Drosophila melanogaster: one gene and its partner. The protein of the gene in region 2 interacts with the protein of the main gene of each other region in a pairwise test. Each region holds a gene or a part of one and is shown on either strand. Other genes may lie near its edges. The genes, in order: IntS12 and IntS1.

The links.
Region 1: the proteins of IntS1 (region 2) and IntS12 interact in a two-hybrid assay, tested with the Drosophila melanogaster proteins (one study listed by BioGRID).

The regions. Positions count from the first base shown.
Region 1 is NT_033777.3:26,861,460-26,865,059, reverse strand, and holds IntS12 (integrator 12), read right to left. Parts: upstream 1,685-3,600; 5' UTR 1,591-1,684; coding exon 604-1,590; 3' UTR 501-603; downstream 1-500. Other genes in the region: ball (ballchen), read left to right, coding at 1-391; Lerp (lysosomal enzyme receptor protein), read left to right, coding at 2,367-2,423, 2,494-2,580, 2,853-3,069, 3,127-3,290, 3,369-3,600. UniProt on the Drosophila melanogaster protein: Component of the integrator complex, a multiprotein complex that terminates RNA polymerase II (Pol II) transcription in the promoter-proximal region of genes.
Region 2 is NT_033778.4:24,035,150-24,050,354, forward strand, and holds IntS1 (integrator 1), read left to right. Parts: upstream 1-2,793; 5' UTR 2,794-2,912; coding exon 2,913-4,230; intron 4,231-4,291; coding exon 4,292-5,271; intron 5,272-5,325; coding exon 5,326-9,189; 3' UTR 9,190-9,309; downstream 9,310-15,205. Other genes in the region: MAN1, read left to right, coding at 1-1,501; Not11 (CCR4-NOT transcription complex subunit 11), read right to left, coding at 1,634-1,991, 2,052-2,191, 2,246-2,491; tsr (twinstar), read right to left, coding at 9,455-9,601, 9,665-9,770, 9,843-10,033, 11,517-11,519; gammaSnap1 (gamma soluble NSF attachment protein 1), read right to left, coding at 12,134-12,172, 12,356-12,710, 12,777-12,847, 12,917-13,111, 13,186-13,301, 13,490-13,557, 13,620-13,684; sei (seizure), read left to right, coding at 14,282-15,148. UniProt on the Drosophila melanogaster protein: Component of the integrator complex, a multiprotein complex that terminates RNA polymerase II (Pol II) transcription in the promoter-proximal region of genes.

The DNA of each region.
Region 1 (3,600 bases), on a different chromosome or scaffold from region 2:
AGCGCGGCTCCGTACTCCCAATGCCAAGATCAATTTCAGCCCGTCTATTTCGCTGCGTGGACGTCCCGGTGGCAAAACCGTGATCAACGATGACCTCACTCCACAGCCGCGTTCCAAGAAGACCTATGAGTTTAACTTCGAGCTCGACGTTAGCATGGATGCCAACGTAATTGTGAATGTCAAACGCAAAAAGAAAGCGGACCAGGATAAGGCGACGGCGGTTGATTCACGTACACCCTCATCCCGCAGCGCGTTGGCGTCCAGTTCGAAGGAGGAGGCCTCACCTGTGACCCGAGTTAACCTGCGCAAGGTAAACGGCCATGGCGACTCCTCCACGCCCGGCCGTAGTCCGCGGACACCAGCCGTCACTGTGCGGAAATACCAGGGATAGGAGCCTTTGTTTTCTGTATTTTTACATTTGTAACCTCATTAATAAAAACTTGAAATATTTTCTTACTTTTACCTACATTTACTGAATTCGATAGCACGTACATATCTTTAAAAATCATTTATTGAAAATGAATTATTGAATTATTATTATGAATGAACGTTCAGAATTTTATGCGGATTGTAACTTTATACTTAATTATTAGAGATGCTAAATTACTGCTTGGATCTGCGCTTGCTGCTGCTGCCGCTTTCGTGATGCTTGGAGGAACTGCTCTTGGAGCTGGATTTGGTGCTGGAGCCGCTGCGTCGCGATGAGGTGCCACTGCTGTTGTGCTTCTCCATTCCGCCGATGGCGCTAAGAGAAGACGCCGCCGTGGACTTAGAGGATCGTTCTTCCTTGTGCGATTTGGACGACGACGAAGAGGAGGACTTGTGGCCATGCTTGCTGCTGCTACTGCTGCTGGCATTCGTGGAACTGCTGGGCTCGGGCCGGTAGAAGGGTGACGAGGAGTTGGAAGAGTTCGATGAGCGCGACGACGCGACCGACGATTTGGCTTTGCTGGTCAACGGCATGGGTTCGTCGGCTATGAAGACAGTTGGCGTTACGGCCGCTGCAGAGGATGTTGTCCTCCCGCTGCTCGTTGGCTTGTTGCAGCACGTGTCGCACTGCCAGTTCTGCTCCTGGTCATCGGCCGCCTCCTCCTTGGTTATGGGCGGCTTGTGGCACTCCTGATGGTACATGGCACCGCACTTGGAGCACTCAATCAGCCGATTGGTGGCCGTGAAAACCATCTCGCCGCACACGCAGCAATTGAGGTCGCCAAAGTCGCCGGTGTCACCGGTGTTAACTATTCCCACGGCGCTTAGACCGTCATCCGAATCCGCAATCGTGTCCACCGAATCGGAGGGCTCCTTGTCCGGTGAGTTGGTCAAATTGATGATCTCGTCCGCATTGATGGGCTGCTGCGGGGGCGTGGCAGCACGTCCGGAAAAGTTCGCTTCATCCTCCAGCATCCGTGGCGTCATGTTGTTGGTCAAACTTTTCTCCGGACCAAAACGCGCCTTCAAAGCCTCGTCCAAAAGCAGACGCAGTTCGGCCGCCGAGGTGGGATTACTCGAGTGCAGCAACTTGATGGCCTTCTTCAGCACGGGATCCACTTCTTGGGCAGCTGCAGCAGCGGCGGCTATATTTGCGGCCATCTTAATACCGGGTAGATATAGTAAATAACAATATAAATGCAAGTTTATGCCCGCGCAACAGCTGTTTGTTTGGTTTCAGCCATTCACTTGGCAACGTGCATAGGTTTTAGGCGGGAAAATTAAATTTTAAGTTATTAGCCATAATACGATGAAAATAAAGTTATGGATCATTTCATGTAATCTGAATATAGCCTTGTTAACAACAATGTTAGTATGTAAGTAACACTACACACGTTGGTTGTATTGGATTCTCAAACATAATGTATATTCAAAAGCCCAACAGCTGTTTGACCAGTGCTACCACACTGCTACGCAGCTCGACTTCTTCTGAGCGCTGCCACTCGCTTGTAAACGTAAAGTAACATTGGTAAGAGCGGGTGTTGTTTTTTGGCCAGGTAATTTAGCCGCATCCGAAAAAGGTATATTCAAGCTAAAAATAGTTATTTCGCCACTATTTGTGTTCGTTGTTATGCCTATCGTGCAACTGCGTCGCCGGCATTTCCTTATTTGTTCTGCTGCGCAAAGAAGAAGAATTGCTGCGAACGGCCGTTGAAAAATCGAAGCAGAGAGCCAATTGGAAAAGCAATAACAACTTGGCTCTCTCGCAAAACAAACAGTTAGCTTGTGATAAGGGAAATTAAATTACTTTGTGTGCGAAAAAAGAGCGCTAATCTTAGGTGGAATTACCAATAAAACAGTAAAAGAAACAAACTGCAAACGCTTTCCAGCGCTTTGACTCATTTAGTGCCAATATTTCAGAGCCTGCAGGTGACAAAATGCGTTGCAGTTTGCAAAAGGACTGCGCAGCTCCCACGCAGGAAAATTTTCGTCAGGTAAGATGATACATGCTGAATACATTTAAACTGAACTAAAAACTATTCATTGCATTTACTGACATTCCAGCAGATGCGTTTCCCAATTGTGATTTCCCTGCTTTTGCTGCTTTTCTGCAGCGGTGAGAGTGTCGCCGCTGACGCAGCCAATCAGCTGGTAAGTGGGCGGTTAGTGGGCGTGGGTCGTTTATTTTGGGGGTGTTTGTTTGTTTTCACTGCGCACTTGTTGCCTTTTGGTCGAGACCCCGTTTAAGGCCCCCCAATTGCATGTTTTTCGCTCGCTTATCACTTCCAGTCTTTGTTGGCCGACATTTCGAATGGCTAAGAAATCAATAGGCTGAATAATGAAGCGATAATAGTCATAAAAAATGTCTTGTTTTCTTTGAAATAGGAAAATATGTAACTGTAATATGTTTACTTTTTCTTTAGAAATTTTCCACCACGGAATGTAAACTCAAGGAGCCCATTTACGGCAGCACCTTCGACTTCAGTGGTCTCCACTCGGATTTGGCCCATGTGGTGAAGAGCATGAACATTGGAGGCGACCAATTCGAGTTCAATATATGCGGAAATCTTTCAAGAACCTGCAATGGGGAAAGTAATGTGGCAGCTTGTCTCAAAAGACAGGGAAAGGAGTATATTTTGGGTAAGTTAACGATCACATTATCTGTATCTCACACGCTAAGATACCTTTACTGTTCAGGTCGTCAGCACGAGTTGTTCTACAACAATGGAAATATGTTTCTGAAGTACAAAAGCGGCGCAAAATGCGACAATGGCACTGCCGACAAGCCCAACTACCAGCTGCATGTAATGTTCTCCTGCGACTATACTTTGGATGCCCAGCCTATGCACGTAACGCCTTACGTAAGTATTTGAATTGTATTCCTTAAATATTTCGAAGATTCTATCATTCTGAATAACATACTATTGTACTTCATCTAGGCCAACGAAGTGTGTTCTTTTTACATCTCATATAGGACGCCTTTGGCATGCCTATCCATTCCCGAGGGTCTACAATCCAATAGTTGCAGAGTGGGCGACACAAAGTCAAATGGAACCTTCGATCTGATGCCGCTGAGTGATAGTAACTATCATACGAGCAATCGTCAAGGCGCCTTCTTTGTGATCAATGTCTGTAAGCCGGTGCTTTATGGAGAGAACAGCATGTGTCCGG
Region 2 (15,205 bases):
ATGCTCCATGCCGTACGCCATAGACACGTCGAATAACTATGGCAAACCGAGCGGAAAAGCTAAGTTATCTGACGGAGGCGTGGTAAATAGACTGCTCAGCTTTCGGGATACCACGATCCAGCGGAAGTTCAACTATCCCACTGGCCAGGCGTCGAGAATCCCGCTCAGGAAAGAAAGGCTAACTCGGTTCGCTTTGTCGGACCTTAAATCCTTCATCAGGAATCCCGACATCAGGCCCTATGTAATACCACGAGTGCTAATTTCGCTGTTCTTAATATTTTTGACAATAATCACTGTCCTCTATGTGGGCAAGAGGTTCGAGCAGAGCCCCATCGATAAGGCCGCACTGAAGTATACATTATGTAACCCCAACGATATGCAAATGATCAGCGAAAAGGTGAATTGCATCGAAAAAGATTCGCTAAGGGGTGCGCTGGACATGAGCGAGGAACTCTTTAGGCATCTGAACGAGCGAGCCAGGCTCCATCACTGCAAAGACGCCAATTTGTCGCCCGCTTTGGAAATAGGAGAGTTTGTGCGGGAAATGGTCAGCAACCCAAAGACTCACAGGGGAAATCTGCACAGCAACTTGATGGCTGCCAAATATTTGATTACCGAGAATCCGCAGTGGAGCATCCAAGTGGTGGATTCAACGAAGCACCTTGGACAGACCTCGCACTTCGAGCTTTCTGAACCCAATCTGCCGCTCAAGTGCATTGTGTTGAAGAAAGTTACCAGGTTTTTCACCGTTATCGGTGCACTTCTCTTAATAGTCGCTGGATTTCTCATCGTGTACGTCGCGGTAGTAATATACCGAGTTAAGCAGAAGGAAGCCCTGTTGGCGGTCGATCAGTTCCAAAAGGACATAATAAACGAGCTAATTTACTTGAGCTCCCAGTCCGAGAGTCCCGAGGTAGTTATTAACCAGCTGCAGGAGAAGTTTCTGCCGGCCAAGAAGCGCTCAAAGCTCTTGTCTTCTTGGAACAAGGCCCTCAAGCAGCTGGAGAAAAACGATAGCCGTGTGCTGTTCGGAATGGTGAATCGTGACGGGAAGGCAATGCGCACAATTGCGTGGAACAGGAACGTTGACAAAAAGGATGTGGGGCTTGTTAAGAAGTGGCAGAGTCCCGCCTTCGATAACTCGAACAAGATTGCCAACCCGCCGACTCCCTGCCTGAAGATTAGGCACATGTTCGACTCCTCAGAGGTGGATCAGGCCAATCTGAAGCAGTCCATCGTGGAGTCGATCATCGAGAAGGTCGGCACGCGCTGCAAGATCTGCGATGTCCAGCTGGACGTGCAGTCCTGCTGCGTGTACATCCGCTGCGCCAGCGAGGAGGACGCCGGCACGATTCACAAAGAGATCAACGGCTGGTGGTTCGACAAGCGCCTGATTTCGATTAAATTCTTAAGACTGGAACGCTACCTGAGCCGTTTCCCCAAGCCCTCGGCCGAGCCACTTTACTTTCACACCAACGAGGCAGCCAACACTCACTCATAAAACACACAACTCTACATTAGATACTTAAGTTATTAAATGCGAATTTGTTTTACATGTACAGCTGGAGTTGTCGTATTTAATCGATTTATTATGAACTAGACTTTAAAACTTAAAATCTGCTAAACACTACCACTACTTAGCTAGGGAGTTGGACGACAGAGCGCTTTCCCCAGTTTCCAAGTGTTTGATAAGCCGGTACAGGGTAGCAGCCTCCTTGATTTTGCTGAAACCCACGCAGAAGGCTTCGATTTCAATGAATAGTTCCTGGAAAATAACAATAGAATAGTCACTAAGCACAGTCGAGGAAATGGTAGTAGCGCATACCCTAACGTTCACAATCTTGTTCCTAATCAAGGACTGCAGAAATACGCAAACGAGTCGCACCAGGCGAGACTGCATGTACTTGTCCTTGACTGTTTCGCAAGTCGAGATGCAATTGCTGATGTATAGGTGAATAAACTCAGTGGGCAAAGGTCCGGAGGTGGTTAGTCTGGAATGAGAGCTCGAGCATGTTAAAGAAGCCTTCAATACTCGATGTTTGGATTCCTACCGGTTGACCACCTCCATGGAGTGAAGTGTTATGTCCATGTTGACCAACACGTTGAAGTATTCAGTTATGTCGGAGGTCGTCATCAGTCTTAGCAAGATCTCAATGGAGATGAGAGGATTGCTTTCCACGAGCAGAGGTAGCTGAGATGGAAGCAATGGATAAGACATATATCTAGCAATGTTTTCGGTTCTTACCTTGTCCGGGGTCAGTCCATATTGGCGCGCAATGTCCGTGTTCTGCTTCAGCAGGTCGTCGAAGAGGATGTGCTGGTTCTGGAGGCTGAGTGGCTGGAGAAAAGCCTGCTCGATGAGGTGCTTTATGTTGGGGGTAATGTAGTTGGACTTGTCGTAGATGATCTCCACCTTGTCGCTGTTCGACTGGTTTATCCAGAGCAGCTCGTCCTCGAAGTCCATTAGGGGCGGGGCGATGGACAGAAACATGCTGGTGCGCTGATTTTAATTTACAATTATTATTATTTTCCTTGCAATTTTGTAAACAATTTTAGTGTGACCGCGTTGAGGGGTTCTTAAGAACAATCTGCACATGAGAGTGGGCCATCTGAAAAATGATGTATGCAAATGTGCGCCTAAGGGTGTTAGGTTACACACTTGTCAAAAAATAAAAATTAAAATATGAAAACAGTTCAATATTTATATTAAAGCCTGTTTCAAAGCTTCCATCGTTCCGAATCAGAGCAGTTGCACAGACTTCTGCATGCGTTAGCCATTGAGCCCTAGCGCCTGCACTCTGGTCACACTGCAACTGTTGCACGGCTGCAAATCGCAAAGCAAAATAAAATGCACCGCGCTTGAATTATCCATTTTATGGACAGAAAAAACCTTCACACACGAACAGAGAAAAATGGATCGCGGGAAAGGAAGCGGCTCCAACCGATCGCAGAAGAAGGTTCCGCTGGGCGGAGAACTCTTTGCGCTCGGCAAGAGCGTACGCGATGACTCCAAGTCGAAGATCCTGCCCATTAAGGGCATGTCGTCGTCGGACCGCAAGCGTGAAGCCTCCACCGCACTGGCCAGCTCGAGCAAGCGGTTCCGCGGCAACCTGAAGGACGCGGGCGCCCCGGACATGTCCTCCGGTAGTAGTCAGTGCGAGACGTGGGAGCAATTCGCCGTTGACTGCGATCTGGATACCGTGGTCGAGACCATATACGCGGCTTTGGAGCAGAACGACAGCGAAACTGTGGGCCGGCTTGTATGCGGCGTTATAAAGCAGACAACGACGAGCTCCTCGCGCTCCAAGGTGGACAACATTGCCCTTCTGGCCCTGATCTACGTGGCCAAGGTACAGCCGAGTATATTCTGCACAGACATAGTGGCCTGCGCGCTGCTTTCCTTCCTGCGGCGGGAGGCCAACGTGAAAATGAGGTACAACACCAACCTGCACATTCTGTTCGCCAATCTGCTGACCCGGGGCTTCATGGAGATTTCCCAGTGGCCGGAGGTGCTGCTCCGCATTTACATAGACGATGCGGTTAACGAGCGCTACTGGGCGGACAATGAACTGTGTGCCCCGCTCGTGAAGAACATATGCGCAGCCTTTAAAACCCGCACGCCCCACATCAGTCTCCTCCGCTGGGATGTGAGCTCGTCCCTGCCTTCTGGTCAAGCACACAGAGACAGCATGACTGTGGACGACGATTCCGGGGACAATTCCACACAGAGCTTGGATGCAAGTCCCTTAAATACCGAATCGGAACCAATTCCCGACGCTATGTGCACCACTAAATCAAGATTCAGCGATGCTGTGGTGCAGAAGCATGTCAGCGATGCCATTCGCGATCAGCTCAACAAGCGACAGCAGCAGGATAACTACACCAGAAACTTCCTAAAGTTCCTGTGCACCACTTCTGGCATTGCAGAGGTACGATGTCTGAGCATTTCCCGCCTGGAGCTGTGGATCCACAACGGAAAACTGGTCAAGTTCGCCCAGCAATTGCTCTCGTACATCTGCTTCAACATCAAGGGACGCAACACACAGGACAACGAAGTGCTCTTGGTGCTGGTGAAGATGCGGCTCAAGACGAAGCCCCTAATAAACCACTACATGTCCTGCTTGAAGGAGATGATTTTTCTGCAGCCGGAAATCTTGAGTACCGTAATGAAACTGGTCGTGCAAAATGAGCTATCCAACACCAGGAATCCAAACAATATGGGGATGCTGGGTAAGAGAAACAAATTTTTTCTTAAATTAAAATCATAATTCTTAATTTGAAACTTTTCCAGCCACAATGTTTCAAACATCTGCTGATCAATCAGCTGCCACTCTGGCTGAGATTTACCAGGAATTCTTGCTTCAGCGGGACGATTGCCTGCGCACCCTGCGCGTTTTCTTACGGGAGCTTGTGCGGATGCTGCGCTTCGATGTGAACCTGGTCAAGTTTTGCAAGACGTTTCTCAGTGAGCGGGAGGATCTGACTCCTCAAATCGAAATGTTCGAGTTTAAGGAGCGAATTTTCAACTCCATGGTGGACATTGTGTGTCTCTGCATGTTTCTGTCGGCCACGCCACAAGCTAGGGAAGCCAGTTTGTCCCTGAAAACCAATCGGGACACCAAAAACAACCATGCTCTGCTCAAGCTGTACAATCAGATGTCACAGATTCAGTTGGACACAGTGTCCTGGATGTACGAAACAGTACCCACGCTCTTCAAGATTCCGGCTGCGGAGTACCACCAGGCGCTGCACAAGCTGCTACTGCTGGACAGTCCGGAGCAGTATTCGCGCTGCGATCAGTGGCCGTCAGAGCCGGAGCGAGGAGCAATCCTGCGGATTATCTCTGAGACGCCGATTCACGAGGAGACCCTGCTGCGAATTATATTGATTGGCATCACCAAGGATATTCCTTTCTCTATCGCAAACACCTTTGATGTCCTGCTGCTGGTCATAAAGCGAGTTTCCGGGATGAAGGCTACCAATATTCCGGCGGTGCAGGCCAACAAATTCGACATCATCGACTTCCTGTTCAGCATGTCAGAGTACCATCATCCGGAGAACATTCGCTTGCCTGCGGAGTACGAGCCACCAAAGCTGGCCATCATCGCCTTCTACTGGAAGGCGTGGCTCATATTGCTTATGATATCCGCACACAACCCCTCCTCGTTTGGAGCCTTCTGCTGGGACCACTATCCCACAATGAAGATGATGATGGAGATTTGTATAACGAATCAATTCAACAATTCATCAGCCACCAAGGATGAGTTGCAGGTGCGTGCTTAATTATATAAACAAACTGGCGGTGCTACAATAAAGATTTTTCAGATAATAACCATGGAACGGGATCACATTCTGCAGTTCGAGACGTACTTGGCTGCCCAAACATCGCCGCATGCTGTTATCACTGAGGAAACTGCGATTCTAATCACTCAGCTCATGCTGATGGACCCGATGGGCACTCCGCGCAAAGTGCCCTCCATGGTCCTAGATCAGCTAAAGTTCCTTAATCAGACCTACAAGCTTGGCCACTTATTCTGCCGCTGCCGCAAGCCGGACTTGCTGCTGGACATAATTCAAAGGCAGGGCACCACGCAATCCATGCCCTGGCTTTCCGACTTGGTTCAGAACAGCGAGGGCGATTTCAGCCATCTCCCAGTGCAATGCCTGTGCGAGTTTCTGCTGTTCAACGCGCACATCATCAACGAGGAGAATAGCCGCGATGCCGAGTTAGTCAATTTCCTGAGAAACCTGATATTTGACGGCAATCTTAGCCACCAAATCGTTTGCGAGCTTTTGGACTACATATTTAGACGCTTGTCGTCCACGGTGAAGCAATCGCGAGTCGCCGCTCTTTCGGGTCTGAAGATAATCTTCAGGCACTCTGGCGACTTTGAAAACGAATGGCTCCTGAAGTCGCTCCAGCAAATTCCGCACTTCTACGAGGTGAAACCCTTCATAATTCCCCAGCTGCGAGCTGCCTGCCAGGTGGAGAATTGCCCGGAACTGATTATGGCGTACATTCAGTTCATCACTGCGCACACGCTCAACGATCCGGTCAACGAAATGCTGGATCATGTCATCGATATGGCGCAGCTGATTGTAGAGCGCAGCACAATGTTTCAGCACATTATCATTTCGCAGGAGGACTACGACTATGTGCCCGACGAGAACCGCATTCAGACTCTGAAGTGTCTTTTCGTCATGTTCAACAACTATATAATTAAGCTAAGGGAATACCACGAACCGTACGAGTGGACCGAGTATCCGGACCTGCTGATGGTTCAGTTTGACGATGGAGTACAGCTACCGCTCCACATAAACATCATTCACGCCTTCATTATCCTGCTCACCTATTCCAACAGCAACATGCCCGAATCGATACCCATTTTGGACTATTGGTTTCCGCCCGGACGACCAGCGCCCGTCGCCTTTCTGCCCAGCATGCCGCAGGAGCAGGTGCAACTGCTGCCCGACTGGCTGAAGCTGAAGATGATCCGCTCATCGGTGGACAGACTAATTGAGGCAGCTCTCAACGATCTAACGCCGGATCAGATCGTGCTCTTTGTGCAAAACTTTGGCACGCCGGTCAACTCGATGTCCAAGCTGCTGGCAATGCTGGACACCGCTGTACTGGAGCAGTTTGATCTGGTGAAGAATGCCATTCTGAACAAGGCCTATCTGGCCCAGCTAATCGAGATTCAGCAGGCGCGGGGTGCTAAGAATGGGCACTACACCGTACAGGCCTTGGATCTGCATTCCCACTCGCAGACTGTGCCAGATCTGCCCAAGATCAGTGTGGTTATTCAGGAGGCCGTTGAAATTGATGATTACGATTCTTCAGACTCGGATGATAGACCCACTAACTTCCTGGCCACCAAGGAGGTAGCCCAAACCATTCTCACGCAGCCCGACCAGTTGACTGAGTCGCGAAGTGACTGCCGATCCTTGATTCAAAAACTGTTGGACATGCTAGCAAGCCCGAACAGCAATAGAGCGGATGTGGTTAACGCCATAACAGAGGTGCTAGCCGTGGGTTGCAGTGTCACGATGAGCCGTCACGCCTGCACATTTTTAAGGACTTTCTTCAGCTGCATGCTGCACAGCGACAAGTATCACATACTGGAGAACGCTCTCCAAAAGAACTTAAGTATGTTTAAGCACACATTCGCCGACTCCAGTCTGCTGCAGAAATCCGAACTCTATCATGAGAGCTTGGTGTTCATGCTGAGAAACTCTCGCGAGATTTATGCGCAGCAGTTTAAGGCGAATACCGCCTTGGTGGCACGAAAACGGATCGTCCGGGCGATCGTCCAAAGCTTCGATCAGACCAAGGACAGCAAGACCGTCGCCAAGTCCAAGAGCGACCAGCTCTTCCACAACGGGCTCTTCATCGACTGGCTGTCCGAAATGGATCCCGAGATAGTTTCCACTCAGCTAATGAAGGAGCGCTTTCTGTTCTCAAAGTCCTGCAGCGAGTTTAGGTTCTATCTGTTGTCCCTGATCAACCACCAAACCAACTGGGACACGATCGAAAGGATTGCCGAGTACCTGTTCAAGAATTTCCATGAAGACTACGACTACGCCACCGTCCTCAACTACTTCGAGGCACTGACCACCAATCCGAAGCTGTGGAAGGGACGCGACAAGTACATGTCGAAGAACGTACGGCCGGATGCCTTCTTCATGCTGAGGACTTCTGAACTGGAGCCGTTCTCCCACTTCATCCTTCACGAAGGGCTTTCCGAGGTCAAGCTGGACAGCAAAAACTATGATTTCAAGCTCTGCTCGCGAATGAACCTACTGTTTAAGCTCACAGAGAAGCGACGAGACCTCATGGTCAAGGTAATGGAGCACGTGGAGAAAAGTTCGGTGTCCGACTACTTGAAACTGCAGGTCCTCCAGCAGATGTACATCATGTATCCGCGCATCAAGTTTCTGAAACCGGGCAAAACCGGCGAGCAGGCGTACAAATTGCAGAATCTGAAGGGCTGCCAGGCGGACAAGGTGTCCAACAATCTGATCACCTGCTTGGGCAGTCTGGTGGGCAAAAAGGACTTTGAAACCCTGTCCACGGACACCGAGCTGCTCCTTCGCAAGCTGGCTGCCTCCCACCCGCTTCTCTTCCTTCGCCAGCTGGGCGTGCTGTCGTCCATTATGCAAGGTCGGGCCCAGCTCAGCATGAAGGCCCTGCGCGAGGAGCACCACTTCCACCGATTTGTACAGATCCTGAGGACGCTGGAGCTGCTGCAACCAACCATCTTTGAGGAGGCGTACAAGAACGAGATCCAAAACACGCTGTCGTGCTACTTCAACTTCTTCAAGCACCACAGCAACGTAAAAGAGGCCTGCCAAATGCTGAACAAGTTTGTGCAGATGCTCCAAGCCTACATCAACTACAATCCCTCAAGTGCTCTGCTCTTCATCGAACAGTACGTGGGCATCCTGAAGGAACTTGCAGCCAAGTACACCTCACTAGGCAAACTGCAGGTTTTGGTCCAGGCCGTTGCCCTGCTGCAGCACAAGTCGCACTCGGCGACGGAATTGGACGACGAGGAAGTTAAGTACGAGTACGATCTGGATGAGCATTTCGATGTAAAGCCATCGGCCAGCAAGCCCGTGGTAACAGAGGATCCCATCGAAGTGAATCCGCAAACACCCATCGATCCAAGCAGCAGTAGGGGTCCCTTATCGGTTCTAACCTTGGGCTCGTACAGCCGGTCGAACTACACGGACATATCGCCGCACTTCCTCGATCTGGTCAAGATCATAAAGCAGTCCAACACGGAGGACGTGGTCTTGGGTCCCATGCAGGAGCTGGAGTGCCTCACTTCCAAGAGATTTGTGTTCATCAACGAGCTGTTCGAACGACTGCTCAACCTTATATTCTCGCCGAGTGCCCAGATCCGGTCCATCGCCTTCATCATACTGATCAGGCATCTGAAGCACAATCCCGGCAATTCGGACATCAACCTGTGCACCCTTAACGCCTACATTCAGTGCCTGCGGGACGAGAACTCCTCGGTGGCAGCGACGGCCATTGACAATCTGCCGGAGATGTCGGTGCTGCTGCAGGAACACGCAATCGACATCCTAACGGTGGCCTTCTCGCTGGGCTTGAAGTCGTGCCTGAACACTGGCCACCAGATTAGAAAGGTTCTCCAGACTCTAGTGATCCAGCATGGCTATTAAGCGTTCGGTCTATAAGTTAGAACCGTCATCATATGTACAATGTAATCTTTGCTCCTTATAATAAAGTGTATTCTGCGGTACGAGATTTTTACCACAGCGGAAACGCGACTTGGTCAAGTTAAATATTTCATTCTTTATTTCTACTGAAAATACAAATTATGTAGAAAATTCTCATACAAATTGGCGATCTCAACAGGATACGTGTTTCCATCGCTGTTTCATGCATGCCTTGTTTGTTAAATGCAATGCACAGTGCTCGTACAGTTTATTGGCGGTCGGTGGCCCGGAGTTTCTCCTCGACGGCTTCCCGGGAGGCTTCGGAAAGATCAGTGGCTTGTATATACTTTTGGACGCCCACGAGCGACTTCTTGAGAGCATCGAAGGAGCTGGAGTACAACATCTTCTTCTTGACCTGTGGGTGTGTGATATCGAAATGAGTTCTGCGCCATTACTTGGCAACTGGCTATTCACATACCTTGGCAGTATCGGGACACCACGACATAAGGAACAGCTTTTGCTTCTTTGAACTCTCAGAGGTGCCTTGACACTGGTGCATGTACTCGAAATCGAACAGTCCGTACCTGTGCAAGCGAATAGATGTTAAATTAGGTTAGTTTCGATGGGTCTGGGTGTCTCTAACCGGCGGAACTTACCGGCACTCTCCAGGTCCGCATTTCTGGATATCTTCTAGAAACTGGTCGTACTCGGCGTTGCGATCTGCCACAGTCTCCACATCAATCTGCTTTTCATCGCGAATGTAAAAGATGACATAGCGATGCTTTTTGTCCTTCTTTATTTCCTCGTATGTAGTCTTGCAGACATCAGACACAGTTACACCAGAAGCCTTTAGAGAGAGAGAAGGTAGAGATGCAAATCAGAGAATGTATTTTGAATGTTCAATGCGCGCCAAACTGTCAACCAAGTGTGTGTGCATGTATGTGATACAGGGTGCTCTCTTTGCGTTTCCCCAAGTATTCCCTTAAAACAAATGTTCATGAAGTACCAAGTAGTTGAATTGTAAAAAAAAATAAGTGAAGTTCAATGTTTTATGCCCACATAAGACACGAGGCACCCTGTACCTCACTGATGTACATATGTGCGTATGTAACTGACTGGCAGACATAACTGCCCACCTTCAGCTGACAGTATATCCGTCCCTTTTCGACTTTGCAATTTTATTTCTTTGATTGCCGGCAATAACAAACATAAAGGTAAATAATTTATGCTACTTTATTTGCATTGCCACCGCAGAACTTTTACCGGTTAAGGCGTGCGCACACTTGGCACGCCGATTTATCTGGGAGTGGTGGGCGTGGCACCATTTACAGTTAGATTTTCCTTTCTTTTTTTCCCGGCGCTCGGAAAGTTCAAGGGTAAGTTCACAAGTGCCGGCAAGTTTAAGGGTGAGAACAAGCCGACAAGAGGGAGAAAGAAAACTAAAAGGGAGGTGGCTGTTTCCCCACGATTTCGTTGCGCTCACAAAACGGTGGAAAATGCCCGATTTTCCATAATATTCGGAAAATGTCGAGAAAATCAAAATCGTCCCACATGCAAACAGTCGTCTGCTGCACACACACAGCTAAACATCATGTGTATGTATGTATGAACATCCGCAAGGCGGCAAGGAAACGATCACACCTTAAATATGTATGCCTGCAGATACATATATGGATATATATTGATACATATTTCTGTATGGTAATATGGACGTACATATGTACACACATTTTGCGTCTGCGAGAAAATAAGCATTAAGCATTGCCCCGCAGATACATACATACGCACATATTTATAGCCATCGAAATATAAAAAAAGCGGTATACCCACACACGCTCAAGTGTGTAAAAATATATATATGTATAGACATGAAAATCCAATGTGTGTGCATTTCTCTTTCCAACATTTCAATTTTTAATCGCTCCATTTTTCCAGCTGCCACTTTGGAGCATTCTTTCGCGATTGCCTTTCGCGAATTTGCCAGTTATGAGTGTGAGTGGCGGCTGAGAAGTATGAAACACTCCAATAAATGAGTAATATCCGCTGCTACCAATGACTAATTTGGTATATATGTATACGCACACATTCATGACCATGTATATGCCCGAATATGGCCAACGAACATATAGGCAAAAAAAAGTGGAAATATATGTATGATTGATATATACACACTTATCTAAATATGTATGTATATACAGATTTCAAAGGAGAGATGCTTATATGATTCATCGAATCGAAGACATTATTTGCACTCCACCTCGCTTCCAAAAGTGCACAATGACCGGCCGCTTTTACCACCGAGTCTGAATGCGAGTCCCAAGTGTACGTACCATTTTTCCTGTAGTTTTTCGCTTTCACAATTCTCAAATTGCTGCTTCGCCGAGTATATATTTTACAAATACTGTTTAACCTTCCGCCTTCTTTCACGAACAACCGGACGAATCAATTTGGTCGGTTATTTCGCACAGGTTAGGGTTGCCAGGCGCCGGCAAAGTATCAACATGCGTCGTGACGCGTCGCGACGTTTGTGAAGCGTTTGGAACGGTGAAATGGCACACTTTCGATCTTTCAAAATGTCAAATATTTTAGGGTGCTTTAAAATACATAGTATAGTTTGAGTTAATTTATTTATTTATATTAACAAATTGCACTATACTTTCGTGTAATAAAGCTGAAGATTTACAGATTTGAATCTTAACACATTCGCTGTTTTGGAACATAGAATATATATACATAGTTTACACTTATAGCTACAATTTATTACTTCAATATCAATTCATCCCAAAGCTAATGATATTCTTTGTTGTATAGTATTGATCTTAGTATTTATTAATTAGTACAACGATTGCGATGAAATTTGTATTTAACAGTTAATATAATATGTTAAAAGCGATATTATTAACGATAAATATATTTTGACTAACAAGCAGACCGAACATTAAGAAATTTAGCACAAGCCACCTTCGTCCTCGGCGTCGTTGGTTTCCTGCGAGAGAGAAAGAGAGAAAATACGAAATTCTTGTTAGCTATTTAGTTTACTGCTTCGCACTGTCCCAAGTCTTCTATCGACAACAAAGGCAGATTCAATCGCCTATCGATAACATCATAATAAGAGCCAAATTTACAAAACAAAAATTGCAAATTCCATTTTTAGAATAAAAATACTCACAGCAGCAGTGTCGCCAGCCTTCTTCTCCATCTGTATACCCTGAGGTAGTGGAATGTTTTTAGATAGAATAGCGTACTCAACATCCATATGTCGTATGAATGGGGATGCCAGCATCCTAGCAGCTAACTCGGGATCCTCGTCATCGAAGGCTTGCAGAAGGGTCTGCAGTGTGGACACTTCCTCTGGCTCGCAGCAGTTTCCCCACTCCCTGAAGGTCTTTTCGGCTTCCACGGAATCCCCGCGAGCCAGTTGGACCATCACCAAGGCCACAACTAGGCGTCCAATTTGTCCGTAAGATTCCGTTTGCTGATTCAAGCTGATCTCCTTTTTGAGCGCATTCGTGGCTTCGTCGTACCTGGAGTGATTGGATGATATAAGCTAAGGATACCCAAAGTGATTCGTTGCAATCATAGGTACATACCTCCTTAGTTTGACCAGTATCCTGGAAACTTTTGATGCATACTCGGCTGCTTGACGGACGGAATCCTCGATCTGTCGGGTAAGTATAAAATTAATAGTTTAAGAATGGAATTGACTAGAGCAGTGTCAAATAGGACGAACCATTATGACTTCTAGAGCATGCTGATAGAAGCGCAAAGCCATGTCAGGATGCTTGGATTCAGTTAACTTGGCGGCTTTATCCAAGGCGGATGCGGCTGCCTCTGGGGAACCGTGCTGTTGATACAAACTCGCCGATTTGTTGGCGTATTCCTCAACTTCGTGTAGCTTATCGGCATCCTTTGACAGCAAAATGATCTAGAAGATGTGCACATTTAGAGGGTTTAAATTTCCTATTAACTTCACTTATATTAACTTCAATTTAAGCTCACCTGTTCGTATGCCTTTGCAGCATGGAACCAAGACTTGTTGTTTTTATAGGCGTCGATTGCCTTCAGAAAACACTCCTTGCTCTTATCATAACTTTTAGCTATTCGATATGCAGTGGCTGCAATTAAAAATGTAAAAGAAAGATACATAATTGTACACCAATATGTGTGTATCTTGCAAGTTATGGATACTTTGGGATAATCGTTAGCTGTAATTCATAGTATTTACATATCTCATTGATGTCACAATGTTTTTATAGATAGATACTCTGGGTGATATTAGTCACTCCTACTTTGTGAAACTCACCAGCTTTGGAATACTCATCCGCAGCACTATCGTAATCAGGAACCCATTTCAGCATGGACAACTTCAAGCTGCAAATAAAGATGGGTGTTATTTGGAAACCCCTTTATAAGGATATTTTTGTTGGGGATACCTCTTCTCGGCCTGCTTCACCAGGTCCTCCGCTTCGGCAATCTTTTTGGCAGCGATTCCCGACATTTTCAACCACTTTTGTTTAGCAGGAAAAATCAATTGTTTACGTTTGAAAATAGTGTGACCGAATGCGAGAAGGAAAATAACAATGGTTCGAAAATCACGGTGGTTTCGAATCTTTGAAAACCGAAAGCAGTACGCATGTCTGAAAATTTCAGAAAAGCAAAGCCTGATTACACCGGGAAAAAAAAGTTGGTCTTATAAAGCAGTTGACTTCGAAATGAAAATGCCATGTATTTACATACATCTATTCATTTTTTTATTTTATCTATGATATTTAAAAAGTAGAGTATGTGTAACGAACAAGATCGAATTGAAGTGTTTTTAATTGATTGAAAATGATTTTCCACTCCTGATTTCTCCGCGTGCATGTCATACCTGTTCTGTTTTGATTTGCAAGTAAATAAGAAAGTGCATTAGGTAAGAAATCGCAGTTTTCGCCAATTTCAATCTGGAGTAAGTGGAAATTTTGGATTTATTATTAAGTTGTTTTTAAGCGAAGATTTATTTGAATTTGCTTACGAATCCGGATATTCTGAGCTTTGCGAATGTTTGATTATAATTTGCAACACTTTTTCGTTTCTATACTTTGCAGACTTAAAAATGTCCCACAAATCTTGCGTGGAACTGAGCGAAATTCGAAAATTGGATAAAATAGTGCAGCAATGCGAGCTGTACATGTCCAACAACAATATTAACGATAATGCGGCCAAGAAACCGCCTGTGAAGGAATTCAAGCGCAATTGCCCTGCAAAATCGAACAAATTTGTGGAGAGGGAACTCTTCTCGCTCATGTGCAACCTGAACAAGATTGAAAAGAAGCAGGTTTTCGTTTCAGATATCCTGATTAACGCCAGCATGTTCGACGACAAGAAGGAGAGTTTGGCGCGGTTTCCGAAAAACGTGTCCGACCACAACACTCTGGTGTACCACAAATTCCTGAGGACTCGACCCACTAACGATGATGAAGCCCTAAAGCTGAAGGCTGGTGGAAAATCGAAGGAGAGGCCAGGCACGAAAATCACGGCAGATTGCTTCTTTTCGCCTCTTCTATTCAAAATCAACAACAAAAGGGAGTGCCTGAAAAAAGTGAAGCCCATGAAGGGGGAAAATGCTGTCGAAACCAATGGTATCCCACTCGAATCCAAGCCAAGTCAGCACAAAAAGCAGAAAAGTTTCAAGAAATGCATTAAGTGCGACAAGAAGAAGCTGTACATTAAGAACTATCAGGTGTCCGCCCGGCGGGAATGCGATCTCCTCTGCTCGTATGATCCCTTGCGTAAAAATAACGCCGACCTCTTCCAGACCCACAAAGGCACTTCTTACGAGTGCATGTTCAAGAACCTCAAATACAACCAGGCCGAAAAGCCGACGGACAACGTGATGGGGAACTCCTACGACGACATGCTGGACAAGGAGGCTCTGCTCGGATCAAAAAGCGAGCCGAAGGGGCAGGATCCCAATGACATGGTATGCAGACATGGTATCTGAATCAGCCGATTAAAGTACTATATTTATTGAATTCAA